Caenorhabditis elegans: one gene and its partners. The protein of the gene in region 2 purifies or fractionates together with the protein of the main gene of each other region. This does not show direct contact. Each region holds a gene or a part of one and is shown on either strand. Other genes may lie near its edges.

Evidence for each region.
Region 1: the proteins of pas-6 (region 2) and rpn-2 fractionate together in Caenorhabditis elegans (co-fractionation; one large-scale study listed by BioGRID). This does not show direct contact.
Region 3: the proteins of pas-6 (region 2) and rpn-5 fractionate together in Caenorhabditis elegans (co-fractionation; one large-scale study listed by BioGRID). This does not show direct contact.
Region 4: the proteins of pas-6 (region 2) and rpn-7 fractionate together in Caenorhabditis elegans (co-fractionation; one large-scale study listed by BioGRID). This does not show direct contact.

The regions. Positions count from the first base shown.
Region 1 is NC_003281.10:6,195,398-6,204,618, reverse strand, and holds rpn-2 (26S proteasome non-ATPase regulatory subunit 1), read right to left. Parts: upstream 5,440-9,221; 5' UTR 5,434-5,439; coding exon 5,379-5,433; intron 5,329-5,378; coding exon 4,801-5,328; intron 4,755-4,800; coding exon 4,624-4,754; intron 4,574-4,623; coding exon 3,353-4,573; intron 3,301-3,352; coding exon 3,151-3,300; intron 3,104-3,150; coding exon 2,577-3,103; coding exon of another isoform or gene 2,573-2,576; exon of another isoform or gene 2,479-2,572; coding exon 2,193-2,478; 3' UTR 2,025-2,192; downstream 1-2,024. Other genes in the region: sna-3 (NADAR domain-containing protein), read left to right, coding at 1-130, 185-521, 573-816, 866-1,137, 1,241-1,591, 1,665-1,859; C23G10.7 (putative tRNA (uracil-O(2)-)-methyltransferase), read left to right, coding at 6,212-6,298, 6,344-6,572, 6,621-6,837, 6,881-7,043, 7,094-7,189, 7,274-7,467, 7,519-7,714, 7,764-7,969 and 2 more. UniProt on the Caenorhabditis elegans protein: Acts as a regulatory subunit of the 26 proteasome which is involved in the ATP-dependent degradation of ubiquitinated proteins.
Region 2 is NC_003283.11:5,581,157-5,587,905, forward strand, and holds pas-6 (Proteasome subunit alpha type-1), read right to left. Parts: upstream 3,188-6,749; 5' UTR 3,179-3,187; coding exon 3,029-3,178; intron 2,983-3,028; coding exon 2,790-2,982; intron 2,741-2,789; coding exon 2,670-2,740; intron 2,621-2,669; coding exon 2,491-2,620; intron 2,441-2,490; coding exon 2,202-2,440; 3' UTR 2,005-2,201; downstream 1-2,004. Other genes in the region: CD4.11 (MAM domain-containing protein), read left to right, coding at 4,026-4,071, 4,397-4,688, 4,736-4,818, 5,235-5,340. UniProt on the Caenorhabditis elegans protein: The proteasome is a multicatalytic proteinase complex which is characterized by its ability to cleave peptides with Arg, Phe, Tyr, Leu, and Glu adjacent to the leaving group at neutral or slightly basic pH.
Region 3 is NC_003280.10:4,692,514-4,700,052, forward strand, and holds rpn-5 (PCI domain-containing protein), read right to left. Parts: upstream 5,782-7,539; 5' UTR 5,780-5,781; coding exon 5,690-5,779; intron 5,633-5,689; coding exon 5,447-5,632; intron 5,396-5,446; coding exon 4,688-5,395; intron 4,641-4,687; coding exon 4,464-4,640; intron 4,397-4,463; coding exon 4,085-4,396; 3' UTR 3,908-4,084; downstream 1-3,907. Other genes in the region: F10G7.5 (MFS domain-containing protein), read left to right, coding at 994-1,147, 1,641-1,733, 1,783-1,873, 1,944-2,070, 2,177-2,502, 2,555-2,744, 2,954-3,061, 3,108-3,224 and 1 more; scc-1 (Sister chromatid cohesion protein 1), read left to right, coding at 6,208-6,459, 6,506-6,655, 6,704-7,539.
Region 4 is NC_003282.8:9,313,418-9,320,946, reverse strand, and holds rpn-7 (26S proteasome non-ATPase regulatory subunit 6), read right to left. Parts: upstream 4,309-7,529; 5' UTR 4,305-4,308; coding exon 4,242-4,304; intron 4,197-4,241; coding exon 3,354-4,196; intron 3,304-3,353; coding exon 2,977-3,303; 3' UTR 2,717-2,976; coding exon of another isoform or gene 2,588-2,716; 3' UTR 2,543-2,587; coding exon of another isoform or gene 2,417-2,542; 3' UTR 2,371-2,416; downstream 1-2,370. Other genes in the region: F49C12.12 (Ribonuclease kappa), read left to right, coding at 1-85, 436-556; F49C12.11 (Translation machinery-associated protein 7 homolog), read right to left, coding at 981-1,015, 1,069-1,156, 1,484-1,555; nemt-1 (Methyltransferase type 11 domain-containing protein), read left to right, coding at 1,661-1,865, 1,915-2,044, 2,090-2,208, 2,252-2,370, 2,417-2,542, 2,588-2,716; F49C12.9 (UBA domain-containing protein), read left to right, coding at 4,840-4,978, 5,045-5,145, 5,193-5,630, 5,738-5,977. UniProt on the Caenorhabditis elegans protein: Acts as a regulatory subunit of the 26S proteasome which is involved in the ATP-dependent degradation of ubiquitinated proteins.

The DNA of each region.
Region 1 (9,221 bases), on a different chromosome or scaffold from region 2:
TCACACCCAACGTGATCTGTTTCACTCCAGAGTCGGTTTTCCATCCACTTTATCCTGCGGAAATCAGATGTTCCGCTGATGGTCCACCTTTGCCTTCTCCAGTTCACTATGTTGCTACTCAAGCTGCAAAGTTAGTTTTTAAGATTTTTTTTTATAATTGAGAAATCTAAAACTTTAAATTCAGATTTCTGAGTATGAACCAAGAAGATACCGAATACATCCTTGAAGGACCATCTTCAATTCAATGTTGGTCACGTCTTCATGAAGTCATCGAATCTCGTGGACGTGGCCTCGAATTGGAACAAACTTGGTGGATGGATAAACGAATGCAATTTATTAAAGAATCACTACAGCTGCTTTTAGAGCAACATCCTGCACTTTTACGAGCTCTTTTAGACACGGGAGATTCAATGCTCGTTTATTGTTCACGGTTCTCATCGATGGATGCAGAATTAAGTATGGGAATGCGAGAAATGGATTTCAGATATTGGCTACAAGAAGTTGATCTCACAACAAAACAAGTTAGTTTAATCATTTAGGCATTTTAGCAGAAATAATTTAAAATTCTTCAGCTTATCGAATTGTGTACTCGACCAATGGCCTTCAGACCTCCTTATATTGGTGGAAATCGTCTCGGAATGATTCTCATGGAACTGCGTAGAGAATTTGTACTTCAAGGCGTTTTTCCTCAACAATTGCCTGAACTTCAACTCACTGCTGATTCTATTTTGGGCTCAAACTCACCAACGGAAAATTTCATGACATCTGAATATTTTGATATTCTTCAACCCTGGAATTATACAGCCTTGTGGATTAGTGAGTCATTGTTTTAAAAGAAAAATGAACTTATGAATTCAAATTTCAGATCCACTTTTCCTGCTCGCTAAAGATGGAAATCAAGAAGCAATGGCTCAATGTACGCGAATCAAGACAGCACCACGCATGGTCACTATAGACGATGAAAAAGTTACTGATATTGTGGAGAATTTAGTAAACGACGAGACACAAGAGGAAGCGCTGAATAGCATTGCTCCAGAGGATTTGAGAGCAGTTTTTATGAAGCTTTGTGCAAGATTGCGAGGAAAGATTGAAACACTTGATCGACAATCGATGGAGTTATCCATGGTGGCTATGGAGGTAATTTAAAATTAAATATTAAAATCACATTTTTCGCATCTTATTTTTCAATTCATTACGCGTCACAGATGCGGTATAGTCAGAAATTAATTAAAATTTTCAGACTCATCGTCTTCAATCAATCCGTCGAAGTTTGGCAGACACCGCTGAAAGAGCTGAAACAGAGGGACCATCATCGTCGACAGGACCATCGATATCCGCTCCCCCAATTCCTTCAAGGCCAGGACATTCCAATTATCGAATGGCTGCAGGACGGGAAAGAGATAGAGAAGAAGAACGAGAAAAAGATAGAGAACGACTTCAATCTCAATTATCAACGAGTTCTTCTGGACCACAAGGGTCCGCATCAAGAAAAGAACGTATGGAGTATAAAATACCAACGACATCTAGAAGGAAATTTGGAAAAGATAGGGATCGTTTGCCAGAGAAGTCGTCTTCTGATAGAGGAAGAGATGTTGGTTTTTATTATTTATATTGTTTTAGCTTAAAATTTCCCGATTACATGTTTTCAAAATCAAAATTTACAGAAACACCTCGACACTCCCACCAAAAAACGTGTAAACCAGTCTCCTCCATCGCGGAAAGCAGCTCCATCGCCTGCTAAAAAGCCAGCCATATCCACGTCAACACCAGCGGTCGTTGTTCCTCCGAAGCCAAAGCGAGATCCCGAAGAGGAGTTATCAGACGGCGAGATTCTATCAACTGACGAGGAGGATAATTAAATTAATTTTTTACTTCACGTTTTCGTTATTAAAATTTTCAGAATTTATTCATTCATTTTTGTTGCTGTTTCATTTGAATAACACAGCAAGATTTTGAGGCCAGAAAGGATCTCTTGTTTAACAAAAATAAATTTTTTGTCATTATCGCTTGACTTCAATTCATGTAAGTGAAATGTTCTTCATTTTCAGGTATACACACAAATACAAAAATCAGCGGGTTCATGTTGATTCGAAGTCAAACATAAATAGAGTAGAAGGGGGAAAATAAATTAAAAAAGTTTTGAATGGGATTGGGGGAGCGAGATAGAGTTGATCGAATGATCCAGCAATTGATCAAAAATCGTTGATATTGATCTCGAACGTCGAATGGGGTTTGTTTTCGGTATTTCCAGAGCTCGCAGGAGTATTGACCTGAGTGACGACTTCACTGACAAGCTTCTCCTCTCTCTCCTTATCAACACGATCCGCCACAATAATTCCACCCTTGTAAAGTGGCTTCATGGGACTGTAGGCTCGAGCGTCACTGATCGAGATTAGCTGTCGTTGAGCAGGAATCACACGAGCTGGATTCTGTAGGCGGTGCAATGGCTTCGTGTCCTTTTCTGGAGCCTTTTCTTTCCTGAAATAATTGTAAGTTAATTTGGAAATCTTGGTTTTTTAATTTTTATGACAAAAAAAACGAATTCTACTTTTCCTAGACACTCATTCCAAACTTACTTGGATTTTCCTGGTTGATCAACCTCCATTTTCTCATCTTCAGCAGCTGGTGCTGTTCCTGAAGTGGACGATGATGATGGGGCAGCAGCAGCACTAGAAGCGGAAGCTGCAGCTTCTCGTCTTTTTTTCTCCTCAGCGATCAGCTTCTTTGACGCATTCTTCTTTCCGGTGATGGACAGAACAACAGTCTCAATCTTTTTGACATCCTTATCCTTCTTTGATTCGGCTCGTGGTGGATAGGCAAACTTCTGACTATTGGCATGGCAGATGTAGTCAAGTACTGGAATCTTCAGATTCTCGTTCATCATCACAAGGCATGATGGCTTAGCAGCAAGGGCGATGAAGAAATGCATCGAGTGCCAGAACCATCCGTGAAGGAAGCACATCATTCCGACCATTGATCCCATATCTGGCTGCTTGTCAGAATTTTGCATTGTGACCGCAGCGTTCTGCCCTCCGATGTCGAGAAGTCCTTGAGCAATAATTGCTCCAAATTTGACAAGAGAGTCCTCGTTCTTCTCTCCGATCTGACAAACATTTATTGAAAAACTTGATTGTTTTCTTATAGAGTTACCTTTTTGAGCAATTGCTTACGGAAACCGTTCACCTTGGGACAAGTGTAGTCTGTCTGCTGGCACATGATGAGAGCAAGTGAAAGAAGTGCTCCTTTACGAACGAAACCTTCCTTATCAGAAATCATTGGCTCAATCAGAGCAATAGCTTCCTGAAAAACAATTCATTATATCAAACCCCGGTTTCAGAAAAAAGTATCTTACCATGTTTCCTGTTCCAGCACAAGCAATTCCCAGTGCCATAGCTGCTCCGTATCTGACATGTCCATTGAAATGTTCGGTGAGCATGGCCACGTAGGATAAGCAGGTTGATGGATCCTTGGAGAGAACGAATCCGATACCAATTGTAGCGTATCTCTTGACATCCAAATTTGGATCGGTGGCTACTTTCTCGAGAAGACGGCGTACTACATCTGGAGATCCGGTTCCGGCGTAAGCCATCGACAGCATACAGATTCCAGTGGAACGGAGCATTGGATTGCTCTTAGCTCCGATTGCTTCTTTGATGTAAGGCTCAGCATCTCCTTGGAGTCCGAATGCGGCACAGGCAAGTCCAGTTCGGATACCACGTTGAGTTTTGTCATGCTGTGTGTCAACAGTGTATTGCTTGAGCTCATTGAACACCTCTTGATTCAGATGTCCAGCCATGATAAGGCCCATGGCGATTCCTGCGGATTCTCCGGAAACTGCTTCATCACGTTGGAGAACTTCCCGAACTTTCTCGTAATTCGAAACAGAAGACGATCCAAGTCCAGCAACTCCAAATCCAAGACAAGCTCCGTGTCTCACTGGCTCGTTTTCGGCGGTTTTGAGCCACTGAGCCAGAGTGCTCATGGCAGTTGCATCTCCGTGTTTGGCGTGAATCAATCCATATGCCAGCATTGCTCCTCCCTCTTTAAATCCAAATCCTTCGACAGATTCCTTTGGCAAATATGGCTCAAGTACCTTCATTGCAGACGATTCTTGTCCGTGATGAATGAGTCCAAGTGAAGCGACCGCATTGAACTTGTTCCAGTTCGTAGCTTTGGAAACCCAGTTCAAGTTGTTACGGAGGAAATCGTCACAAGTAGTTCCATATTGCATAAGACCATTTGAGATGAGAAGAGCATTGTGGGCAGAGGCTGTTCGAATGTTCTCCTTGATCTCTTCCATTAGAACAGAATCAGTGTGATTATGACGGACAAAGAAGTCGAGGTAAGCCTTGACAGTTTCATGACCTTTGAGAATTGAATGAATCTTTTCCATCGACTTCTCATCACGAGCATCCTGCTGTTGGAAACGTTTCAAAACTCGATCGAGGAATCCTTGACTCGCTGTTTCATATAAATCAAATGCGATCTGATATGCACGAGTGCTGAGAGACTTCGCGATCAAACTCGTAATCGTGTCAGCAGCGGCCTCGGCGTTATCCGTGAGCACGTAACACTGAAAATGTTTATTTTGTAATTTTACTTCGATATTTGTATAAATCATACCTCGCAAATCTTGGACATGTCCGGCGATGGGCACTTCAAGTACGTCTTGATGACTGTATCGATAACTTGGAATCGGAATGAACGATCGAACGCGCCATTGACAACACGGTTGAGCGTTTCGACAAGTGTAGCTGCACAAAAAAGAATGACGTTTCAGCTTAGTTATTATTGACTTACTCTGATTCTTGATGGTCAAATCTGCAGGCATCGCGCTAATGGCCCTGTCGATCATAGCCAGATTGGTCGTCTCAAATCCTAACGAGATGACAAACCATATCTCTCGTTTATCCAGATTTCTAGCAACAATTCGGTCGATCAAATCTCGGAGTTTCTGAGGAATTCCAGATCCTTGCTTGCTCAGCGTCTTGTACGTGTCAATGGCCGTCTCGATGATCTTGTTAACATATTCTGCGTCGTTTCCAAGACCGGTTCTTGTAGCAGGAACGACGTTGAAATCACCACGAAGAGCAAACTCCAAAGCACGTTCATACTGCTCCAAGCAGAAATAAACTTTGGAGACGAGCAGTGCAGCGGATGAATGCTCTGGGAACGTGTTGTTGTCAAGGAGCTGCTCTACAGCTGGAAGGGCGTCAGCGACCTCAAACCATGTGTTCACAAGAACATCCCAATCGTTAAATGCTTTGAGAACGAGCACTTTGTCGGTCACTGCTGATTTCGGTGACTCGAGAACACGAATGAATGCGGCTGAAAATGAACAATTCACAACGTTTCTTGATAGATATTAGTTTTGATACCTGCGTTTGAAGCGCCTCCTGGCTGAGATCTCCATCTGTTCAACAATGTCAACATCTGAAAGAAATCAAAATTAAAAACAATCCGAAATGAGAGCAGCTAGGAGAAGATAGTTGCGAAGCATAGTTTATTATAAAATGTTTTTCTAGGTTATCAGAAAAACAGCTTTCTCGTCTTAAAAGACAAATTAGAAAACGTCTAAAAATAAATCAGGCGTTTTAGAAAATCATAAAATTACTCAAACACCAACAATGGATGAACCGAACGAAAAGAATGATTGCGAATGACAAATTTCGTCCAAAAACACATACATTTTCAGATAAAAGCTGACAATTTCGCGGTTTCCCGCTGTGGTCAGAATTGTCATCCTCCGCGATGTGCGTCAACTAATCGATAATTGCGCCAGCACATGGGTGTTGGCGCATTTTCTTCAAAGTTGTTTTCTTATTTTTAGACAATATTTTTCCCAGCAATTCCGATAAAAATAGCATATTTTAATTTTTAAAATCAGATAAAAGTGTATTGGTGTCTAGTTTGACCGCTCTAATGCTTAATTTTTCACTGATCGTCTCAAAGCTATGCGGTGGTTACTGTATTAAAGGCTCATTGCACATAGTTATGACATTGGTTTCAGTCTGACTTAGTTTTTGTAGTTTTCAGAGGAACATTTCCGAATTTTCTAGAACTTTCTATATCTTCGAAAAGCTTACCTTTCTGCGTGTTGGATATTTTCGGCCGAACTAATCAATAAAAGTTTATTGAATAATTTTCTTTTTCCTTTGAAAAACTAGTTTACCAATATATTCAATTAAAATTTTACGTTTTTAGGCGTTTTATGTTTCCTGGTTCAACATGGACAGTTATTGTAGAACAAATCGCCGAATACGAAGAGGTTATTGATCCAAAAGCGTTTTTTGATAAGGTAGTTATTGTAATTTGGAATATTGTAATTGAAAGAAAAATTCAGATTATCAGTCTTTGGAAGGAATATCCAAACGCTATCAGTAACAGAATTACAACTTCAGTTTCAGTGGATACAGATTCAGATTTATGGAATGAAGTTTTAAGAACATTTGAAACACATTACAAATTTTGCCCGAGAGATTGCAGCGAAATAGCTATTACGAAAATCATACACAAGGATCTCGCTAATAATAAATTCTCAGATAATGCGTTTGAAGTTTCTTACTATGAAGGTTTGTTTCGAAGTTAGTCTTCTTTTGAAATGATGTTTTTGTTTTCAGAAGAACTCCTTGTACGATTCTACCCAATTACTCTCGATGGAATGCAACACCCACATTTCGAGAGCCCGTATTCAATTGCCATTAAAATCCCAACAGATACATCCATTCAACTTCAGTTTTTGAAGCAAGCTAATTCCTCTCAAGAACATTTTGAATTTATGAAGAAACAAGCATTCAAACAATTGTACACTTGGTTGAAAGGAATTGATCTTTCAAAGTGAGAACGCTATGATTTAACAAAGTCTAAACGTTTATTGCAGATCATCTCGAAAGACAAATTCTCTACTCGACAAAGAGTCCTACATCAAGACATATCGTCATATTCGAGAGGATTATGGCAGAGGAATGATCAAAGGATGGACAGAAAACTCTAATCCACAAAAATCAATTTTCGAGGATTGTGGGATTGCTTCATATATAAATGTAAAATTTATCTATTTCAATAAAATTCCCATCTTTCAAAATATTTTTAGGAGCTTGTCAATTCTGATCTCCTACCAAAGCCGAATAAATTCGTGGATATTGGATGCGGAAATGGTCTTCTTGTTCATCTTTTGAACAAAATCGGAGTAAGATTTTTTTTTTAATCGAAAATTGATTTAATTATAAAATTCATTTGATTTAACTTTAGATTTAAAAAAATAAATGTTTAGATGTCTGGATACGGAATTGACGTTCGTCATCGAAACATTTGGAAGACCACTCTGAAAGATGTGGACCTACGCGAAATGCCTGTCGATCCTCAAATTGTCGTTCAAAATGAACCGCACTTCGATTTAGATGTGGATTTGCTCATTGGAAATCACAGTGACGAGTTAACTCCATGGATTCCAGTTATGGCTGCTAAGTGAGAAGATCATAAAATTTTCAAAATCCTTTACAAAAAATTATTTTTCAGACTCAACTGCAATTTCTTCTTGATTCCATGTTGCCCATTCAACTTTTTCGGAAAGTATGCCAACAACGGAAGCCACTTAGGACCAAAAAGAATAGTTTCACAGTATGAGTCATTCTTCGAGTGGACCGTTTCAGTTGCTGAACGACTTGGATTTGATGTTAAAATTGACAGATTGGCGATTCCGAGCACGAAAAGAGTATGTTTTATTTTTCCTATTTCCTCCTGAACAATTTCAATATTTTCAGCTTTGCATTATCGGACGTGTTCCAGAAGGAGGACTATGCCCAAATGTGGACGAAACCATCAATTCAATGACTGAAGGACAAAAGTTTATTGCAAGACCAAAGGAAATCAAAACAACGAATTGTATGAACATTCCTGTGACTGATCGTGAAAGAATCGCCAAGAAATTATTTGATTTTGTTTTGAATTATTCTGATGCAGTCAGAGAGTTAGTTTCAATTCAACCGCCTCTAGAAATGAAAATATTGTTTCATTTTTTCAGTGGATGGCGTTGTGGAGGTGAAGTTCCTTTGGCCCAGCTTGCTGCGCTTCTCACAGAAGAAGACAAAAAACTAATGAAAGATCAGGACGGAGGACTTCAAACTTTTCTTCGAAATCAACATCAAATCTTTCACGTGAGCACTACGGCAATAGATAAGAAGATTAGTCGATGTTTTGACATTTTTATTTTACTCTTAAGCATATTTGGTGTACAGAACATTTATGTTTATTTCTTGTTTTTCAGGTATACCAAGCCACTGCTCGTCTTCGTGATTTCCGTCAGCCAGTTGTTCAAAAACGTCAATCCTGGAAGCCAAAAAAGGCGGAAACGATCAGAAAAGCACCATGCTGGATGTCACTTCATCATCCAGATGGTTGTCCAGTTGGACAAGAAGCTTGTCGTTATGAACATTAACATTTCCTTTATTTTATTATCGTTGATTTTTTGTTTGTTGTGTTACCATGAGTTTAGTTATTATTTATTTGCTTCCATTTCAAAAGTTTGCCGGTTTTTTTTTCAAAGTTTATATTATCCCCTCCCCTCTCCTATATGATAATCATCTTATGTCATCTGTCCCATTTTGTCTGACTGTTTCATAAATCGTTGTTGCAGAAAGTACCATTCTGGTTGTGTTAGATACGAGAAAACACCTAGTATTAAAAAAAAGTATTAAAAACATTCGATTTCAAAATTGTAAATTGAAGAATTTTCAAATTTTGCGCCAAAAATACAGTACCTGGTCTCAACACGACAACTTTTTCTTAAAAGTTCAAAACTACAGTACTCTTTAAAGGCGCGCACTCATTTGTATTTCTCAAAAATTTGTCGTACCGAGACCGGCTACCGTATTTTCGGAGCAAAATTTTGCGTCTGGATAATATAAGTTTTTCATATGGAGCATTTTCGTTCATATAAAAATCTATACTACTTTCAAAAAACCGCGCGCAAGAAAAAAAAAGACGTCAAACATCTTCAAATGCCAGACAGACAGTTTCACACTAAAATGAAACTTGATCTCTAACACAGTCTATGTTGCACTTTTGTTTATCCTAACATCTTATTGTTAGATTTTCAATCCCAAAAAGTTTCATAAAGTAGACAAGTTACGTAAACTTGAAAAAAAACTGTCTAGGTTCAGGTAAAGTGCACTTATTTTTTCTTTATTTATCAATAATATATGAAACCAAAGTTCTAAACT
Region 2 (6,749 bases):
TATCCGCTTAGAATGTACTGTACATTTTTTGTTACAGCCCTAGCGGAAATAACTTTCAAACATTTTTTGATGAGTAATGCATGTGATAAGAAAATGATTCAACACTCTAAATTCCAATTCTCATTTCAAATTAAAAATATAACTTACTGGCGATATGCCTGAATAGTAGAACCGGCCAAATTCATGATGGTATCCAGCTTGAAAGCTTCCACGAGCACTTTTTCGTATTCGGCTCCAGGATTAGTGTCTTAAACTTTTCAGTTTAGATTTATGATGAACAGAAGAAGGAGTTAAAGAGTTTGAAAAGTTCAGGAAATAGCATTTTATTACGAGGTGCATGTATAAAGCATATATATTTCTACCAAAAAATCAAAGTTTAGGCCTGTTTGTTATAGTTAAAAACGGTTATTTATCTCTAGTGTCAAATATCGAACAATATTTTGGTTCAGCATGTATTACGTAGACGTCTGTAAATGATAATTTTCGCCATATCTTACGCGCAAGGTCTCACCACGCGGGCAAGGAGTTACTGTAGCTCGTGTCGATTTATGAGCCACTATTGCATAATACAGTTATACTCGCTGTTCTCGTGGCGAAACCCTCGACAGAAATGCCCATTTATAAACATCTACATAATAAGGGCATATTAAATTGTTTTTGGGAATCAGAAATTTTCTATTTGGCTCAAATTTGCCCGTGAAGTATGCTCGTAAAGTAAGACCAGCAATTTTGTGAAATTTGGAACTTGTTGTGATCACTATAGCTGAGATCGTGTCGAGACCCACTCAGAAAAAGATCGTGTGCCTTTAAAGCGGGGTTTGACTGTTCACGAAAAAATAATAGACGTCTAAAGAAAACAATTTCCGGCATACTGTGCAACTTACTGTAGCTCGTGCTTCTATTGCACCATGTTTTGAATAAATTTAAATATAATAAAAGAAAAATAAAATGTATTTTTTTAGACGTCTAAGTAAAAATGAATAATATTTTCCATTGAATTGAAATTTTTATGAGTAAATCAGCCTATAAGTCGACCGAACAAGCTTATTTGCAGTTAAAAAAAATTTATTTTCCAAAATTAAATTGACTATTTTTAAATAAACACTTGAACTTTTAAATTTACAGGATATATTTTCTTCAGAAAAACAATTTCAAGGATAAAAAAATCATTTCCACGAATCAATGTGTGCACTCGGTGCAAAAGTGTTCGAAAACTTGGTCTAAAAGTGAAGAAAAAGTGCTGAATAGACCTCGCCTCCTGCCGAAAAGAACATTGTGTGCTGGTGCTGGTGGCGGCAGTGCTTGAAGTGAGGAAACGCACGCCACACAGAGCCGCATGGCCCTCCGATGCCATTGGCTCGATACAAATTCATTTAAGGGCGCTCTTCTTTTCTCTCTTCGCTTGTCAGACAAATGGCACAAGGAATGAAAGAAGAATTGGTGGAAGAAACGAGAGAATTCTATTCAGTTCATTCAGAAGCGGCACACACAATGGTGTCGGGCATTGATTGTGGTTCGCTTGGGAAACATTTTTGGTTTTGCTCGTGATCATAATAAGCAAAACCGCTTGTTAGAAAAACAACTTCCAGTAGATCCGTAAATCCTACTTCCCTTTTTTACCTATTTGTGGATTTTTAAATGAAGAAAAATGTATAAAAATTGTCAAGAGCTCCAATCGAAAAACAAAAAAAGGCAGAAGTGGGTCGAAGAAAAGAGTTGACTGCGACAAAGAAGATTTCAATCTCAATTCGACGAAATTTGAAACTCTTCTCTCTTGCATCACACACACTCCTCCCCTTCTTCTTCTTTTGCTCCCCTTTCTTCGCTGATTTACAATTTGAGTGATGTAGTAGTGTATGGAACACTGAAGAGAAGAACTATGGAATAATGCCGTGGAGCAGCTCGCCGGGGAATAGCGGAAGACGGCGGGTGCGTGGTGTACTACGGCGCAGACATCCATCATTAATGGACAGAAGGCATGGACGCGAATGACGAGAAGTGCTTCCTTTAATGTTCTTTCTGCAACATATACATGACTGTTGAACGGAAAAAGGAAATTAATATGTAATCAATCTTTTGGAGCAGGAAAATAATTTAATTCGGGAACGAGAGGGAGATTAACCGGCGATAAATTATACGGGTCACATAAAAAAGAAATGGAGACGAAAGTAATTCACATGGTCTGTGATTCAAATTAGAATCTACATTTGCATTGGTTCGGCGCCACCTGGAGCTGCTGCTGCTGCTGCTCCGCCAGTTGTGCGTGGATGTGTGGAAACTTGGTTGAGATGAACGGCGACTTGAGCATCTTCGAGAAGACTGAATGGAGAATCTTTCCCGACAATTCCAATAGACGTATTCTGAGCGTTGAGGTTTTCTTCGGCTGGAAGTGTGTCGCGAAGAGCAAGGAGAGCATGGACAATCAATTGTTCCGGAGTTGCTGAAAAAAGAAATTGCTCAATTTTATCAATTATATTCCGAAATAAATACATTTCTCGAAGTTATCAACATTTCTCTCGAGGTAAGTGCGCGCAGACTGAGATCTTGCTCCGATTGAAGTTCCATGCATGCTGACGACTTCAGCAGATGGGTCAGTTTGAATGATGTGTGCTCCATCTTTCTGAACAAAAAAATATTTAAAAGAACAATTATATTTATGATGTTCTTACGTCATATCCGGCAATCAGAATTCCAACTCCGAATGGACGACGGCCATAATATTGTGTATTGGCTTGAAGTTCTGAAATAAGAACAATGTCTTGAGAAAATTGCTTCCAAAATTCGCTTACTCAATTGCATAGATTCAGCGAGCTTCTTGATTGGAACCGCTTGCTTGTAATCCCAACGCCAACTCGAGCACTCGGTTTGGAGGTAGCGAGCCAAGATGCGACCATCGGAGAGGAGACCAGCGATGGAAACTCCAGCGTGAGTGTCAATTTCGTACACTTTCTTCTGATGAGACGACAAATCGTTTTGCGCTCTCTGAAACGAATATAATTAATTGAAATTAACATGTTGTTTCGCCAACCTTCAGGGCGACGATGACAGCGTGGGTTTCACTCTTGATTCCAACAGTTGCCGAACCTTGCTTCATCGCCTCAACGGCATATTCGACTTGGTGAAGACGTCCCTGTGGGCTCCAGACTGTTACATCGCCGTCGTATTGGTTGCGGAACATGGTTCAAACCTAAAAGCTCTTAATTACAATTTATTGAAGTTTTTAGCCATTTTTTGCAGTTTTATAAGCAGAGAGTGTGATTCAAGATGAACCAAGAGTTAGAAAAACATATGGAGTTTATTTAAATCCACAGAAACAAAGAAAAAATATTTAGAAGTCGAAAGAAAACCTCTGAAATGAGTTCTAAATTTGAAAGGATGACAAAATAAGCGAGTACGCATACACCACACTTTACGCGCAATTGCTTACCGTATACCTGGCGGCAAAAAGTGAAAGAAATTTCCAGGCATGGAATTCCATGGAATTATGTAATTCTTCTGGTGAAAACTGCGTAAGATCCTCAAAATAATTTCGAAAAAAAGACACTCAAAATCCACGAAGAGAACTGTGAACAAGTAAATATTACACGAAATTGAACGAAAATTGCGAAAACGTGATTGAAAACGTCGAATTAAATTTTGAATCTAATTTTTGAGGAATTGAATATTTAAAATTTAAAATGTTGTCTACTGATGGTGGTGGCCGATTCCCTGACTTCAATATCTTAGAAATTCCTGTTTAAATCTGGCAAGGCTATACTACAAAGCTCTGTCTTTGAAAATCTCTAGTTTCATTTTTCAATCATGTCTATTGAATAATAAATATCTTTCCTCTCATTCACTTTTCTTACCCACTGACCCACTTTCTCTTGTGACTCTCGACAGTGAAACACCGTACCTAATTAGGCAATTTACCAGTAGTTCATATTCATTCTCGGGAGTACGCAATACCACACGCTCATTGAACTTTGAGAAAGGCGATTTGAAATCGAAATTTATATGTTTTCAAACTATTTTCTTCATGAAGTATGGTACTTAATATATATGTCTTGATATTGCTACTTTATGGTTTGAGTGAGTTTTTAAAAAGTTTTGGATTTGAAATCTTTTTTTCTACCAAATTTTTTCTGTCCTTTTTTATTTAAAAAATCATGAAAATTTGTTAATGGTCGCTCTTGAGGTTATTCAAAATTTAAAATTTAATTTTTGGGATTTTAGAAAAATCGCTCATTTTGTAGGGCTTTTTCTATATTGAAAATTGGAACACGGATTAGAACCATTTTGCGTCTAAAATGTAAAAATGCAAAGTGCGGCACAGAAAAATAGGTGTGGTTTAGAGACAAAAGCGCGGTAATTCAAATCAAAAGTTTAGCTAGATATGACCTTCAAATTAATTCAGATACCAGTTTTGCTTGTCACTCCCTGAGCTCTCAGTACAGTCAATTTTCATCTCGAAGAGCCAGAGCTCGCGGAGTCTCATCCCTACAACGTACAAGTGAAAATGCAATTGACTTTGACTACCTCACATCAAATCTACCGTACTCCGCAACTGAAATTCGTTCGATCTCATCTCTTACCCCATTTCCTGTGAAACCAATGCTAACTGTATCCGACGGTGGAAAGCTTACATGTCATTTTGACGATGATATGGAATATTGTGGATGGCATAATGCAGCGGACACTGACATGAAGTTTTTTTTTTCAATTTTAATAGAATTTCAAAAATTACTATTTTTAGATTCTGGAAATCAAAGTTAAACTCAGATAATAATTTTGACTCGCAAAGATTTGACTCTGGAAGTCCATTGAGTTTCACACCAGGTAAGAGGAACAAATTGTTTCTAAAAATCAATTGAAACATTCCAAAAAGATTGAAAAATTTGAAAATTTCAGCAAAAGTTTTGGTTGATGTTAGTTTGAAAATTCTGTATTTAAAAAAAATCCTAACGCTCATATGATGCCAAAATGGCCAAATATCATAGTAAAACGTTCCAAAAAATTTTTTAGATTTTTTCATTGACATGCAAAAAGTGGCAATCACTTAGATTTTGCCACTTTTTGAGAAAACTATATCGCTGTCGCATGTCCGAACCCCTACAATGTTTGAATAGGAGTATTTTTAATTGGCTCATTTTCCTATTTTCAAAAAATCATTTAAACATTAAAAAAAAAATTTATTATTAACTTTTTAATTGGGTAAAAGTACCAGTTGATTTCAACTAATCATAACAATTCAGACAACAATTTTCTACTGGCTGGCGGCGAACCAATGATTCTTCCACAGACTGCTGCAATTGAAATGGAAATTCCATGTCAATATGGAGATGCTGAAGTGAAATTCGAGTAGGTCTTCGAGTTCACAGCTACGTTGTAAAATCTCGGATCTTTTAATTTAATTTAATTTAATCTTGATAAAGTTAACTTTTAACTAATTCATCTGAAAAAGCAAATAAGAAATAGGATTCTAGTTTTTCGATTTTTAATCCCTATTATATTCTCATTAGAAAACAAAACTTTGAAATTTATGTATCTACATTTGGTAAGTTTCATCACGGATACCATACTTTTTTCAATAAAAATTATTTTTTGAAACCGATAAATCGGAAACTTTATGGTTTTTTAACCGAGATTGCATATCCAATTTAGCTTTTGACCCTTGCAAGATTCATTCTGAAAAACAGAAAAACAGTGATAAAGTGTTCATATCATGAAAGGGTTAACTTTTAACTAGATTTTCCAAAAAAAAACTAACAGAAACCAATTTTAAATCCTTATTGAATTCTCGTTTCAAAAAACCAAAAACAACGGTCAAGTTGGTGTCGATGGGAAGGGTTTGTATTCTGTTAGGAACACGGGTTTGGCATCACAAGGACACCGGGCTCTCCTGCAAGCAGAAGAATGACTGGGTAACCCATCAACTCCGGACCGATGTGAGAGAATGGAGAATCGCAGTTGTTTATATACCCGTTCACGGCCGAGCGGCAAACATGTTCGGGTGAAAGTAAGATATTTTTTCTTGTTACGAAATTTGTCACAATTGCAATCGCTAGCTGTCTCTCTGCATTTCACATGAACATGTCTGCCACTCGGCCGTGAGCGGGTATATAAGCAACGCCAATTCTTCATTCTCTCACATCGGTCCGGAGTTGATGGGTTACCAGATTAATTCTTCTGCTTGCAGGAGAGCCCGGTGTCCTTGTGATGCCAAACCCGTGTTCCTAACAGAATACAACCCCTTCCCATCGACACCAACTTGACCGTTGTTTTGTTCTTTTTCAACGATATTCTAACCGGAAAGATGAACTGATTTCATTTGGTTTCTCAGAAGGACTAGAATAATTTGTAAACTATAACTTTCTCATGATCTATGAAATTTACCACTATAGTACATAGGTTTCTCTGATTGCAAGGAAGGAATTATTTGTGCATTTCACAAGACAAGATTAAACCTGAGGTTTTGAATTTGGAATTTTATAAGGTTTCACATTCCAAATTGCTCAAAAAGGTTGATAATGAATAAAATGAAGATATGTGGTGTCAGAATGTCCCATGTCGGTTTGATCTTCGAAAAGTTGACACATACATCCTAACCAATTTTGCATGGTTAAGAGCGTGCTGACGTCACATTTTTCTGGGAAAAAATTCCCGCATTTTTTTGTAGACCAAGCTGATATGGGACAGCCTGACACCACGTGTGAAGATTGTTCACCTAGTTTGGCGGTTTCCCAAAGTCACGATTAGTGTCGAAACTA
Region 3 (7,539 bases), on a different chromosome or scaffold from region 2:
GTCCAAAGGAAAATCTGGCTAATGTGACCATTCTATCGCATTTGGTCCGTCGTCCACCATACATTCCGACGACAAATAGTTCAAACTTTTTAAGACGTCACGTGAGTACTCTAACTTTTTACTAGGTTTCAAGTCTTTATTCCAGGATGTCTCAGTTGGAAATCTATCCTGGCAGTTTAGCTTGGTTGAGTGGAAGAATAACAATGGAGCCAAGAAAGATGTGATGGCGTTGAGAACTCGTCTGAATGCGGCTCCAAATGAAGATTTGGTATTTGAGGGAGTCGTTATTGCACCGCCCGTGATTCGTGAGAGATTGAGAGAGGTAAGTCGAGGATCCAAGGATCCTTATAAACACAATTCTAAGACAATGCACAAATCGCGAATAAACTGTGAAACAAAAATTCTTTCAGAATCGTCGCATGCCGATGCAACACCTTGTGCTTCCAGTTACTCCTCCGTTCGATGAGCCTGATGATCCTGCTCCACCATTGCCAGTTGCACCTCCTCCTCTCCATGGACCGAACAACAACGGCAATGGACCAGCTCAAAATGGAAACTAGCACTGATTTTTTGTCATATTCAATAAAGCATTGAGAGCAGACAACGAGAAAAATGTGTGCATATTCAGTATCTACTGATTACAAATTAATAAGAAATTGATAAGAAAGTAGTGAGAATCAACGTTTTTTGGTAATTTCAAAAATCGAATTATTTTTCTTCAAATAGATTTTATTTGGTGAAAATCCACTTTCTATTTCCTCCTAGCCTAGAACCTCCTGGTTTTCTAAATCCATAGATCAAACCATGTTCAGCTGATGTCCTTTGTGTGTTCCTTTATTTCCCGTCTGCGTCTCTATACCATGCCACACAGTCTAGTTATTACACCACCTGCGTCTCTAGGTACATTTTCCCTATCTCGCATGGCATCATTATTCCTAAACATTTTCGGGTTCAATCATTACATATCTGTATATATTGTATAATTTATTCAAAATGTCATGCTTCACCTGCTCATCGTTTTTTGGCAGACTACCAATGGAAACCGATGATCCGATACTAAAGCGATTGCCACGTGGCGCTAGACCGTGGGCGGTACTTGTAGGTGGTGTGATGTGTATGGTGACTTTTGGAATCGTTTATACTTGTGGTAGGTTTTAAATTGTTATAGAATCTAGAAAGATTTTGTGAGATCAAAACAAATTGGAGAGCAAATATTTCGGGAAAACTTCCAACATTTCTTATTAAAACTTTGTAACCGTGAGTAATAGGAAAAATTGTCAACTAGGAAAACAATTTTCAATTAATTCTAAATATTTTATCAGTTGACAGCTTCTCGATTATTTTCACAGTTGACAAATTATGGCGGTTTAAAAATTTAATGGGTGGGCGGCGAGCTTTCTCGGTCTCGGTTAATCTACAAAACTACCAATTTCGGTGTGATAATCCTTGTTTTCAAATTTAAATTTATTTTTATAATATAGAAAAATATTTTATTGATTGGAAATTATTAAAAAGTACCTCGAATACTACTTGAAAGTTGCCATTTGTTGGAAAAAACTGGGTTTTCTTTTGAAGAATTTTTAATTTTGGAAAATTTATGAATTAATCTGAACAATTTGAAGCATTTATAAAATTTCCAGGTAACCTTCTACCGTACCTTGTCTCGTATTTCCGATGGAAAATGTATCCAGATATGAGGACGGGGCAATTGATTTGGTTGCAGACACTTTTGAGTTTGTTTTTTTCCATACTTTCAAGAAACCAGACATTTTGAAATTTCAGGCGGTCTCCCGATGGGAATGGTGATTGGTGGTCTTGTAGAGAGAAAGTTTGGTGGAAGAGCTGGTGCACTTTTAGGTTCAATTATTTATACGTGAGTTTAAAAAAAGTTACAGATCGCGATGCACCATGTGCTTAACAAAAAATGATCTGTATTGTTACAGAATTGGTGTTGGATCAACATTCTACTCAATTCAACACTCCTACGCCGCAACACTGCTTACGATGGGAGGCATCGCAAGCGTCGGAAGTAGCATTGCCTACAGTTCCATTTTGCCAACTGCTCAGAGGGTAATTTTTGAAATTTTTTGTTGTAAATCTTCAAATAAAGTCTTGATTTCCAAAATCTAATTTTTTTTTCAAAACCCCTAACCTCTGCTAATCTTCAAAATTTCAGTGGTTCCCTGACAATGTCGGCCTAGCCGGAGGCATCATAATCGGTGGATATGGATGTGGTGCATTCATCCTGTCACCCCTTCAAACCACTTTTATCAATCCATTAGATTATCGTGTCAACGATCAAGGATTCTTCACTCAAGAGGATCTTTTGGAACGGGTTCCCTACGTTTTCATCGTGATGTCCATCTTTTTTACGGTTTTTCAATCGATTGGGCTCATTTTTATCGGGCAACCGGAAGGCGATATTCACGTTGAAACGGAGAATTTGATTGGGACGAACAGTGAAATTCGCGTGGAACAGGCGAGGGTTTGGCCGCAGTTACGGTAAGTCCTGCCGCGAGGCATTATACAGACAAATAACGGGTTTTTTTTTCAGAACCACAACTTTCCTAGTACTATTCCTGTCGTTGACATGCAATGCCGTTTGGGTCCAACTCACAAGTGGTCTCTACAAAGCTTATGGGCAACAATTTATCGATTCTGACTTCTTTTTGAGCTTGATCGGATCGATATCCTCGATTTTCAACGCTGGGAGCAGAGTTTTTTGGGGTGCAATTGCGGATACGGTTATTTTATTATGGAGTCGCAGAAAAATTCGCGCTACGCCCCCAAGGGTCGGGTCTCGTTGGGTATTGGCGACAAAACAGTTAAACTCTAAAGAAATACCGAAAACATGTTTTTTAAAAATTCTTACCGCTAATACCTAACGAGACCCAACGTTTGAAGGCGGAGCGGTCTTGATTTTCCAATAATTAATTTCAAATCAAATTTTCAGACATCCTATCAATTTTCCATGTCGATTGTGTGCAGCCTGGGAGCAGTTTTGGCATTTTCGATGCCACTGGTGAAAATGGTATCCAATGATGTTCTGTTTTTGGCCACCGTTCGTTTTTTTCTTTTTTTTTCTCATTGAAATTACAGTTTTTCAGGTTTGTCTGATGTTTTCCTGCATCGGAGGCACATTTTCAATCTTTCCTTACATCACGCACAAGTGTTTTAGTAAGGCGAATTTCAGTGTTATGTATGGATTTTTGCAGTGTGCAGTGGTAAGTGGAACTTATTACCGGGATGCGAAATTTTCCGGTTTTTGTGAAAAAGCACCCGGTCTTGACACGACAAAATTTTGTTAAATGCAAAGGGATGTGCGCCTTTAAAGAGTACTGTACTTTCAAACTTGCGTCGATGCGGAATTTTTATAAATGAAATAAAACATTTTAAACACATACATTTAAAAAAATGTGAGAAAAACGATGAAAATGTCGCAGTAGCGAAAGTTTGAAACTACAGTACACTTTAAAGGCGCTTACCTATTTGTTTTTAACACAAATTTCTCGTTTCGAGACCGGGTACCGTATTCGCGAATACATGAATACATTTCAGAGTGTCGCCGGACTAATCGCTGGACTCATTTCAACACATGCTCTTTCTGAAATCGGATTTGAATATCTTTTCATTGTTTGTGGATGCTTCATGTTGACCTCACTTTTCCTCACTTTTATCGTCCACAAAACCGATTTAGCTCAGTTGTTGGTTTCTGCTGAACGAGAACATTTGGAAGAGGATGAGAATGGATATCAAGTTTATCAGTAATTGGTGCACTCATGTTATAGCTTCTTATCAATTTCCTAGAAAATCAACTCAAACCTGTGATGATCCATTTGTTTCCCGTTACCTCTATCTTACAACTTGTTCCATAAAATTGTTTCTTCAAAAGCTAGTAATACACATTGAGCACGTATACGTTTACTATCAAACCGAAGAGTGAAAGGATGAAATCGATCGACAGTATTAATAAATTAATGATAAAACCGGAGAAGGTGCACGAAAAAGAAGAAATTGGGGAGGGCGAACATCAATAAGAAAAATACACATGATGGCGGAATTATACACAAAAAAGTGGTTAAATTTATGCCCGTGGGGCCGCGAGATCCAAGTTCTTGTGAACCATTTGCTCTTTCAGAATGAGATGGGAAACTTTGTTCAATGTATCCGTCAGTTTGTGCACGTTGCTCGCCCATACATCCAATTGCTCAACATTTGCCTTTTTCAAACGAAGATTGACAATACGGGAAGGGCGATGAAGTTTTGCTCCGGTGATCTGACCGGTAACAATGAGGTTACACACAAATGATTCCATTTCATCAACTGGGAAGTCGAGGAGCTCAGCGAGACGTTCGAAAGTGATTTGAGTATAGTACTTGGCAATCATACGCATGTTCTGTAAAAATACAAATAAAAATTTATAAATTTTAACAGGTTTTTAACTTATTAAAATTTTAACTTACGTGCTCTCCAACACGAAGGTGCAAATCAGACCACCGCTTCTCTCCTTCAGTTGATTTGTCGAAAATTCCGGTGTCTGGTGAGCTAGTTGTTCCACGTCTTAAAAGCTTCTCGTACTTTGCGACAATGGTTCCTTTGAAAGAAATGAGTTCTTGGTTGATGAAAAGATCCAGAATGATCTGAAAAGAAAACAATAATTAGATTAAATTCAAATCGCACAGCTTACCTTGTAGTCTGGAACGGTTTCCAATTCTCTTTGAATGGCAATTCGGTTGAGGAGATCCCATTGCTCGTTTGTGTGCGGAGCCAAAAGACAGTAGACAATGGCAGAACGAAGATGTGAGGTCGCCTTGGCTGAATCAGCTTTAATCTTTTTCGTCTCATAAATTTCACGATGATGACGGCACACGTCCAGATAGTTTCCATCGTGAAGTCCGATACGGATCATCGAATCGTAGTATTTCAGCTTCAGGTTCTGTACTTCATCTTCGTCTGACTTGTTGAAGAACTTGATATTGATTTTCTTAGAGATAATAGTGGCTCGCACAAAATCATTACGAACGAGAGAATATCTCATTTGCTCGAGAAGGTATTGCACCTTCTCTCGCATTTCCATGGAGCCATATGTTTCCACTTGAAGTTCAAGAAGCATGGTTGCAGCTTCGTCAAGCTTTCCCTCTCTCTCCAACTTCTTCACAACCATCGAGGTGAGGCGAGCACGTTCCACTTCCACATAGATCTTTCCAGCTGTAACAGTGCGAAGAGTTTCAATAAGCTTCATCTTGAGGTCCTCGGTTGGCATTTTGTCAATCATTGCGACAGCATCACGGACCATCTTTGCGATAGCCATTTTGATGAGAAGTCTTTTCTTTGAAAGCGTCATGATTGTTTCCATAAGAAGATCCCATTTCTGCCCTTCGAAACAAAGCTTCGTCTGCAAATATCAGAATTAATATTTTTTTTTTAATTTGAAAAGTATTATCACCATATATTGAACAACGCGTGTATTGCTCTTCATGTCAGCTCCAAGACGAGTGAGCTTTTCGATGTTGTTCAGACTCTCTACAGCAGCAACAGCGTCCTTTTGAGCGATATCTCGGGCTTTCAGAAGTGCTTCGTCGACTTGTTTCGAGTAGTCCTGCTCCATTTTGAACAAACGACCATCTCCACCCTGAAAATCATTTAATGAAATCTACAGATAAATTCTCGAAAACGTTTTAAAACTTACATGAGCGGCCAAATGAGCCAAATTGTCAAGTTCGCTTAGTTCTCCGACATCGACCGGGTCAACCGGGATCGGTTCGCGTCTGTCGGCCATATCTGGAATAACAATAATTAGAATATATAGTTCTGCTTTTTTAATTGAAAAATAACTTCAAAACCTATAAAAATATTACTTTTAAATGCACAAAAATTTTAAAGGTAGAGAGTAGAAAATAATTATTTCTTGAGTGACAATCCGCACAGCTGAAACGAGTGTTACCGTACCTCAAATCGCGGTAAGACCCAGGAGGAGGAAGACAAAAATATTTGAAAACGATTTTTCGAGCGTTTTGTCTTCATCATCAGAAATTTACCGCATTTTCAATGTTTGCCTCATTTTAAAACTATTGCTTCTCTCATTGTGATCATTTGAACATACTTATTCTTCCAGTTTTTGCTCTTTTATCATGTTTTCTCAGGAATTTTCTAATCTATGATCTCTTTGACGTTAACAATCTATTGTTTATCTCATGCTATTTTCAGATGTTCTATGCACAGTTCGTTCTCGCCAAAAAGGGACCGTTGGCAAAAGTGTGGCTGGCAGCTCACTGGGAAAAAAAGCTGACAAAGGCGCAAATCTTCGAAACAGATGTTCCCCAAGCGATCGAGGAAGTCATTCGCCCCAAGGTTAAAATGGCGCTCCGAACAGTTGGACATCTTCTCCTTGGAATCGTGAGAATCTACTCGAAGAAGACACGATATCTTCTGGCTGATACAAATGAAGCGTATCAAAAGGTAATTAAAGATAATTTAGAACGACAAAAACAAAGTAAATTTTCAGATGAAGATTAACTTCCGCAACGGATTCAGTTTTGAAGTCGACATTCCAGAGAATGCAGAAATTGAAGAGGATTTCTCAAACTTCATTGATAAGTACAATATCACAGTGCCCGAGTTCCACGATGCCGACTACAATGAGCAGCTCATTATGGTGCGTTGTATTAAAAGCAATTCACATTCAATTTAATCGCTGTTTCAGGCTAATGTGAGCCGTCGTGAAGACATCACCATGAAAGAAACCGTCAATTTCAATGTCGAGTTCAACATTGACGCAGATTTCGATGGGTTCGGTGACGAAGGAGAATCTTGGCAACTCGATCATCTCTACGGATCGGTGGAACCTTTGTCTTTGCGCCCCACTCCTCAGCCAGAATCGTTGATGGAAGTCGAACGAGATCGTGATGTGGCTGCAAATGGAACGGAAATTTCCCGTATAGATGCGGATAGTGTGATTTTCTCCGAAGGACCAACACGTCCAAATCTTATTTTTGACAATCAGGAAGGCGGAAATTTCATGCCTGAAATGAACCTGAAGGTTGAGAATCAAACACTGGAAAACGATGGTGGTGTTGGGCCTGCTGATATGTTCAGCTCAATGATTCATCCCGTCAGAGAGCATGCTGTCGCAGATGTTCAAAACGACGATGGTATGGACTTTGACTATCAACCGTTCGAGCCTGAAAACGTTGAGCCATCGAGACCACAAAGTCCCGAGTCATTTGCCCTGGAGCCTCTAGATGTGGAGCACATGGAAGGACGGAAAAAACGTCAGAGAAAAGCGAGAAAGCTGATTGTCGATGCTGAAACTATGATTTCAAACGACGCTTTCCGAGAGCAACAAGAAGACTTCTCCGATACGATGCGAGTAGTTGAAATGGCGCCTCCTACCAGAAAGATGTTCAATTTATGCGTCAGCGGAGATCTTCAACACCTCAGCCGTGAACCTGGATGCAAAATGTTCAACAGAGAACTCCTTCAAAGATACAGGAGATGTTTGGTCACCCGAGAGTTCGATCTCAATTACACCATGCAAGA
Region 4 (7,529 bases), on a different chromosome or scaffold from region 2:
GCCTTCTCGGTGTTTTCTTCTACATTCAAGCCGTCACTCTCTTCCCAGATCTTCATTTCGAAGGACACGGAAAGGTTCCATCGAGGTGAGATTTTGAATTGTAGAAAAACATTAAAATATTTAATACAACTGTTATGAGTTTTCGAAAATCTCAAGTCTTGTCTTAAAATACTACCGACATCAAAATAAAAATGTTTACGAAGCTTATCTCAATAAACACCAAACAAATATTTATATAGTTCTAAACGAGTGTCATGTAGTCTGCTCATAAGTGCTAAATACTTGAAAAAAATCATCAATAGCTTGATTTTATTGAAAATCAGTAAATATCTTCCAGTGTTGCTGAAAGAAATTTCGAAATAGTTTTTAAAGAAAAAACAGCTGATCAATATTACTTCAAATATAAAATAAAAATTTCCTTAAACTTTTTTTCAGTGTAATCGACGCAAAATATAACGAGAAAGCAACACAATGTTGGATTGCAGCCGGACTCTATGCAGTTACTCTTATTGCAGTCTTTTGGCAGAATAAATACAACACGGCACAAATCTTTTGAGCCTTCTATATCTGCATCAATTGTTCACATCGTCGTATCCTGATTCTCTCGCGATCCATAATTTTTCGAATTTCCCCCTTAAAATCGTCTCTGCTTTTAGAGACGTGCTCATTTCCACCCATATAATTGTATTCTGTAGCATAAGAGTCCCATCCGACATTCCATCAGTTCATTTTCCTGTATATGTTTCTAAAGTCTTCCAAATCAATTTTAGTGATGAATATTTTCGCCTTCTATGATTGATATTCTCAGATAACAATTCATTCGTAGAAATATAGTGATGTTGAAATTATCAAAAAGGGAATGAGCAGAACGGAACGAAGAATATGTAAAATATGGAACGGAAATGGATGAAATAACGAGTCATTTGACGAATTAATAACAGAGGTTGCGGATGAGATGGCATAATATTTGACCGAGGCAATTACTTCTTTCCTGATTTCTTGATTCCTCCACCGACTGCAAAACAGGTTGATAGTTTAATGTTATTTTACTGTTAACAAATAACTTACGAAGTGGTCCACGTTGTCCAGCCTTGGCTGCCATCTCCTTGATCTTTTTGGCTTCCTCTTGTTGCTTCTTCTTGAACTCGACGTCTTCCTGTAACCATGAAATTATTATACATTTTTCGGATCAAAAATTCTCACTATGACCGTTTCAAATGACTATTTATATTAACAACTCATTCAAAATTTAAAATCCTATTCGGTGTACGGAACCATGGCGCCTCCAAGTATCATGATTTCTTGATAAGTGTTCAAAAAATTATATGAGATTATCGTTTTCATCAACCTACGCTCAAAAGTGTGACAATATTGAACGAAAAACTGATCTATTGGATTTCTTCTCTCATTAATCAATTAGTTTTTTTTTGCAATATTACGCCCATGATAAGTATAAAATATCTAGTATCATCATCATTTTCACCTCAGAAAGATCCTTCTCCGTTTTTTTTGCGGCCTTCAGTGGCTTTGCCTTTCCTCCTTGACGTCCGGACATGATGATGATTGGCTGAAATTGAGTTTTATAGAGCTAATTTCACAAAGATTATATTTCGAACAATAATTGTACAAGAATACATTTACTCGTAAACACATATTCACTATGAATCTCCTACTTCACATTTCCTCTCTATTACTACAGTTATGGCTTTGGTTTTTTGATAGATTCATAATGTATCCATTAATGAGAATAGTAGCACCAAAGTTAGGTGTTCGTTTCATGAATTTGGGCTACTGGCCATCATCAGCACCTCAGTACGCAAAAATGAGAATGTTCATGGAAGATCTAGGTGACCTAGATGAATACGGTAAAATGAAAACACTAATCGAGGTTTCCTTGTTAATTTAAATGTTCAGAGTCGGATCGAGCTCATATTTATCTCTATGAAAAAGCATTATCAATGCATCCAAATTATCCTTATTTTGAACAATTTGAAATTCTTGAAGTGAGCTGTGGTCAAGGGTACTCTCTCGATTGGATAGAAAAGTAAGTGTCTTGCATTTTTTTTAAAACGAGAAATATGGAACACAGGTGGCATGGACCAACAAAATGCATCATTGGCTGTGATAAAGTTGTCACTAGAAATATGAATAACATAGTCTACGGAGATGCACTAGATTTACCGTTTGCAGATAATTCGTTTGATTTTGGTAGGATCATATCAAAAAATACCAAAAACATCTTGAAATTAAGTTTTGAATGTGGAAGCAGCTCATCTTTACTCGGACTACAAACTATTTTTCAAAGAGGGCTCACGAGTTTTGCGATCGGGTGGTGCCTTCTGCTACATGGACATTCGATATCCCCATGAGGTTAGTCTACTTGTAAAATTTATATAAATACAGCTAGTGATTACAGGCAAAACAGATTCAGGAGACAGCCACAGCAGCCGGTTTTGTAAAGAAACATTTCGAGTTTTGCACTGATGAAGTAGTTGAGGGCTTAAAATATTCAGCGAGAAAATATGATAGGCTACTAGAGAAAGTAAACTAGGCCAAAAGTTAAAAAATTTGTATATAAATATTTTAGGCTCCTTTCTTCGTTAAATTCTTCAAAAACTCGCTGCGAGCAACGTACTGTGCTCCTGGAACATCAACTTATGAACGATTGAAAAATAAACAGCGGATCTACATCGCAGCGATGTGGATAAAGAAATAAAGAAATGAAGAAGTGAAGAAGTGAAGAAGTGGTATTAAATAACATGTAAAAACATTTTAAAGATAATAAAACAATTGGTATTTGACCAAGAAAGTGTGAATACAGTTTTAAAAATACAGCGATGGTAATAAATTAATTCATTCAACCGGAAATGATGAAGAAGTGGGGAGATTCAAAGCGAGTTAACGCAAAGAAATAATACGGGAGAAGAAGAATAGGGTAAAATAAAAGGATTTACACGTTTGAAGAACTGGGCTCGGTTATGCATTGATAACTCTGGCAAGCTTCTGAATGCGGTTGAGCAATATATCTCCATCCTTGATAACTGCCTTGTACAGATGATTCTTCGAGTCACGATGATTCACTTCAATCACTCCGTTAACAGCATCAATACGACATTGCAATTGCCCAGTCGCAATCAGACGGTGCAATTCGCGGTCGATGAAAGCACGGGAAACACCAAAATCCTTGGCCATCATATCGATACGTACAGTCTTGTAAGGAGTCAAAAATTGTTCGTAAGCGCGATGGCGCATTCCACGAGAGTAATAGTTGAAGTGTGGCGATAGATAGCGATCAAACTTGAACTGAAATATAACGATAAGTGAAAAATACAAGATTTGTTTTAGTAACTTACTCTCTCGCTTTCAAGAGCGGCCAACTGAATGAAGAAACGATCGTAGTGACAATCATAGTATGATTCGAGATACTCACGAACTGGAATCAATGTTCCATTGAGTCCCCCTCCGGTCAGCTGTTCTTGAACTTCATTGCAACGAATAACCTTGGTACGAAGGTCTGGTCTGTCCAAAGCAAAGGTTGTGGTGATGACAGTGTAGAGAATCAAGTTTTCATATGTCATGAGCTCGTATGATCCGAATGTTGGCACAGCTTCAAGGAACAAATCAGCGGCTCCAGCAAAATCACGAACAGACATTCGGTAAAGCGCTTCGTAGGATCGAAGGCGATTTTTGCGTTCCCAGTCTCCTCCTTGCTCCATAAGTTCTTTTGCTTTGGTGATAAACTTGTTGATGAGATGATGATCGAGGAAGAAAAGTCCAACACGAATCATGGCGAAAACTACATCAATACGATATCCCATACCGACTGTCTTCTCATAGGTGGCTGTGTACGCTTTCAGAGCGTTGTCTTTGTCACCGATCTGACAGTAGTACTCGAACTTGCGGAGTAATCCCTGACGCACTTCAGATTCGCCAAGGTTCTTCTCCGCGTCTTCAACTTCTGCGGTGATTTCATCGATCTTTTTCTGATTAGCTGCTTTCATTGCAGCCAATTGTGTTGCATCTACGACAATTTTGAAGTCAGCGCAGACAAGCTCGTAGAATGGCGCCATGTCGAATTCTTTGATAGTTTCCTGAAGCTTCTCGAGCTTGGCTTCTTTCACGCTGCTGTCTACTTCGGGATGATTGAGCATGAATCTGGTTTGTGATAACTCAAGATCAGGCCATCTTGAAATGATCTGAAAACTCTGAACTTGAATGATTTCAAAACTACTGATCCGTACCTCCTTATCGAAGTTTCCATCATCTACGGGTTTCTTCGTGCTCTTTTTGGCAGCCTCTGTCATCCTCCTTAAAATGAAATATGAACACTTGAAATTGTAGCAAACGTTAAAAAGCGGCCAAAACGGAAATAAAACTGTTCAATGGTATTTCAAACGTGAAATAGCATTTTAGTTAGTTTTCATTAAATTTGCTGTAATTATCGAAATATAGATTTGGTATTAATTTTAGTGTCTAGTTTGTTAGTTTTTGAAAATAAGCGTTGATATCTATTTTAAATTCGTAATAGTGCCTTATTTTACATTACAGTGAGCGGCACAGTGAAAACTACGTTAAAATATCTATTTCATAGTGCATAAACAGACAAAACCGTATCAAAATTCAAGAAAACTGGGGGAAAAATTCAAAATGGGACGAATAAAAGTGGGCGGGGATGATGACAAGGGTTTGCAATACGCGGCGCATGCTTTCGCAATTCCGCCGCACGGTTTTATTCATCCTTTCATTATCGAGCGCTCTCGTTATTAGCGTTTGAACGCAGGAAACGGAGCATTTGTTTCGCATTCAGTTTTCAACCGCCATCCCGTTGTATTGAGAAACATGGTTAAATTGCATTTAAAAACCACCTGCCGTGAAGTCCCGATCGAAGAGATAATTTCTACTGGACAGATCCAATTCTTCAAGCATTTATCAGAAAGTACTTCCGAATTCAAAGACCAAAAAAACGTTGAACGTTTCCGTAAGTTTATTTCTTCAATTATCGATCATATTTATTTCTTCAATTATCGAATCAATCACTTTTCAGGTTTGATTTATAACGGAAGAGCATTGAATGAAGAGAGCCTAAAAAAGATTACTGATGCTGATTCAATCAGAGTCGTGCTGCTTCCACCGCTTAAAACAAATGTCAGTTTTTTTCCGTTTGAAACCCAAATTAATTTTAAGATTTTCAGAACCACATCGAAGAAGAGCAAAAAAATCGAATCAGTATTGCTCTCAAGGAGTGTACCGCCCCATATACACGCCCAAATGATCGTCGGCTTCATGGTTTCAACCACGACTTTGCACTTCCAGATCACATGACAACGCTTCTTGAGAAACACCCACAGCTGGTTCATGATAATCAATTTTTATCTGTTCTGAGTGATTGGTCATTATTCCGTGCCTATTGCGTTCAGAACGATTTCAAAGATGATCCAATTCGGGGACAATTCATGTACACGAATCCCGATTTCTTGAAAGTAGTAGAAAATATTCTATCGACAGTAGGATCTCGTTACGGATACGAAAACCTTGATTATGCAAACGTGGAAAGAAATAGACCAGGAATGCTTGCAGCTCAGCGACCAATTGGAGGTGCTCAACCGGTTACTCATGCGTTGCTTCAAAATGTAAGATTTCTTGGACACACTGATTCTCATAATTCGAAAAGAATAATTGAAATATAATAATAGTTGAATACATATTTCTACTAAATTCTCCATGCCAATTTTTTCAGGCTCTCCAAGCAGCCCTGGCAAACATTGCAGTTCCTCCGGCAAATCGGGTTCCAGCTCCCGCCAATGTCCAGCCAGCGCAACAGCAGCAAGAAGAGCCAATGCAGCAAGGATATGAACAACAAGCTGCGACTCTCCGCGAGTTTGGATTTGAAAATGATGAGCTCATTCAGTTGGCTCTCGAACAGGCGAATGGAGATGTGCAAGCGGCTATGGAGTTTCTTATTGATCTCCAAAATTAATCTACACCAATGGTTTTATTCTGTCTTCTCATTAACTTTTTCTGTCTATAAGTGTTCATAATTCGTTTTTAATGCATTCAAATTGCCCTATTCATTCGTCAATAGGGCTAAAATAATCTCATATCTGTTTAAAATAAAGCAGTGAAATGAAATCACCGTTTATTCGTCTAAATCACTCTTCTACAAACTCTTCTCTGCTTATTTAGTGTCTCTGGGTCACTATAACATCGGATAACAACTTATTTCCCTGGGGTTGGGAATGGCAATATTCACTTCGCTTCTGATTCAAAAAAAAATACAAAATAGTCCAGTACATCGGCAAATACTCTTTTACTACGGACATATTTTTTACTACTTCTTATAGTGATTATTACAACGAGTTGAAAATGCATTTTTTATAGTATCATACATTCTAGAAATTAACAATTGTACTTATCAATTAAATAAAATTAGATAGGCCACAGTTTCAGTTTATGCTCGAGTAGTTCTAGCAAATCTGTGTTGCTTTCTTCTGACGGGATACTGAGTTGGAGTTGGCGGAGTGATACTGCTGGGTTACTGTAGTGGTACTGTAGGCGCAATTAATATTTTTTCGCAGAATCAACAAATTTGTTCCATACCTATTGTTTTTTTTGAAAATAAAAAAACATTTCCTGGTCCGTTCGGTAAAAATTTACCGTATTTCCTCTATCAGTTTTGCACCCATTCATCTGTTCCCTATGCGATTCAAATTTCGCATTATAAACACATTCTACAAATTAGGAAAACTCTTACAGACTTGGTATATAAAGTCAGAATTGGTTAGTTATGATTACAACTCGGCCAATTTTTGGCTAGCATTCGTAAAATTCGTTCTTTTGGCCCAATTTTTGCTAATTTGCTAATTTTTGTGTTATAACAAAAAGTTTGCTCTTTTATTGATTAAAGTGGTAATAAGACAATTTCTTCCAATTATCAAACTGTAAAGCCGACATTGGACAATTCTCCGAATATTCACATGTATGTTTAACATGTTTCAGGATTCAATTTGAACATTTTCCATTTATGAATTTGCAGAAGAGGATCGTAACCCATCACGAAGAATCTAGAAGCCCAATCTTTGGTAGTATTGGCTCTTCACATCATACGTTTAATTAAACGAATCAATGAATAATTCGATTTACAATTTTTATTTTCAATCTATGTACATAACCAAATAGATCATTTTTTAAACTTATATAAAAAATCTAGAAATCTTTGAAATCATAAAACCATGGTTATGTTCTTGGTTATTCAGTTCAACGAGTCAACTTATTCAGTTAAGTCAGTTATTCAGTTCAACGAGTCAACGAGTTAAATACCAATTGCAACCAGAAAACAATCTGAGAATCCAAAAACCCTGCAATTAGAATTTTGTTTTCTTCTAATTGTTTGAAGTTTTCACGTACACAAATCAAAAAGATCAAGCATGATTATTAAAGTTTTTGGAGAGCAGGTTATTTTAAATTATCCAAGATTTACCGTTTTTATTTACTTTTGAGATTAAATTATAGACTAAATGCCAACTAAAAAA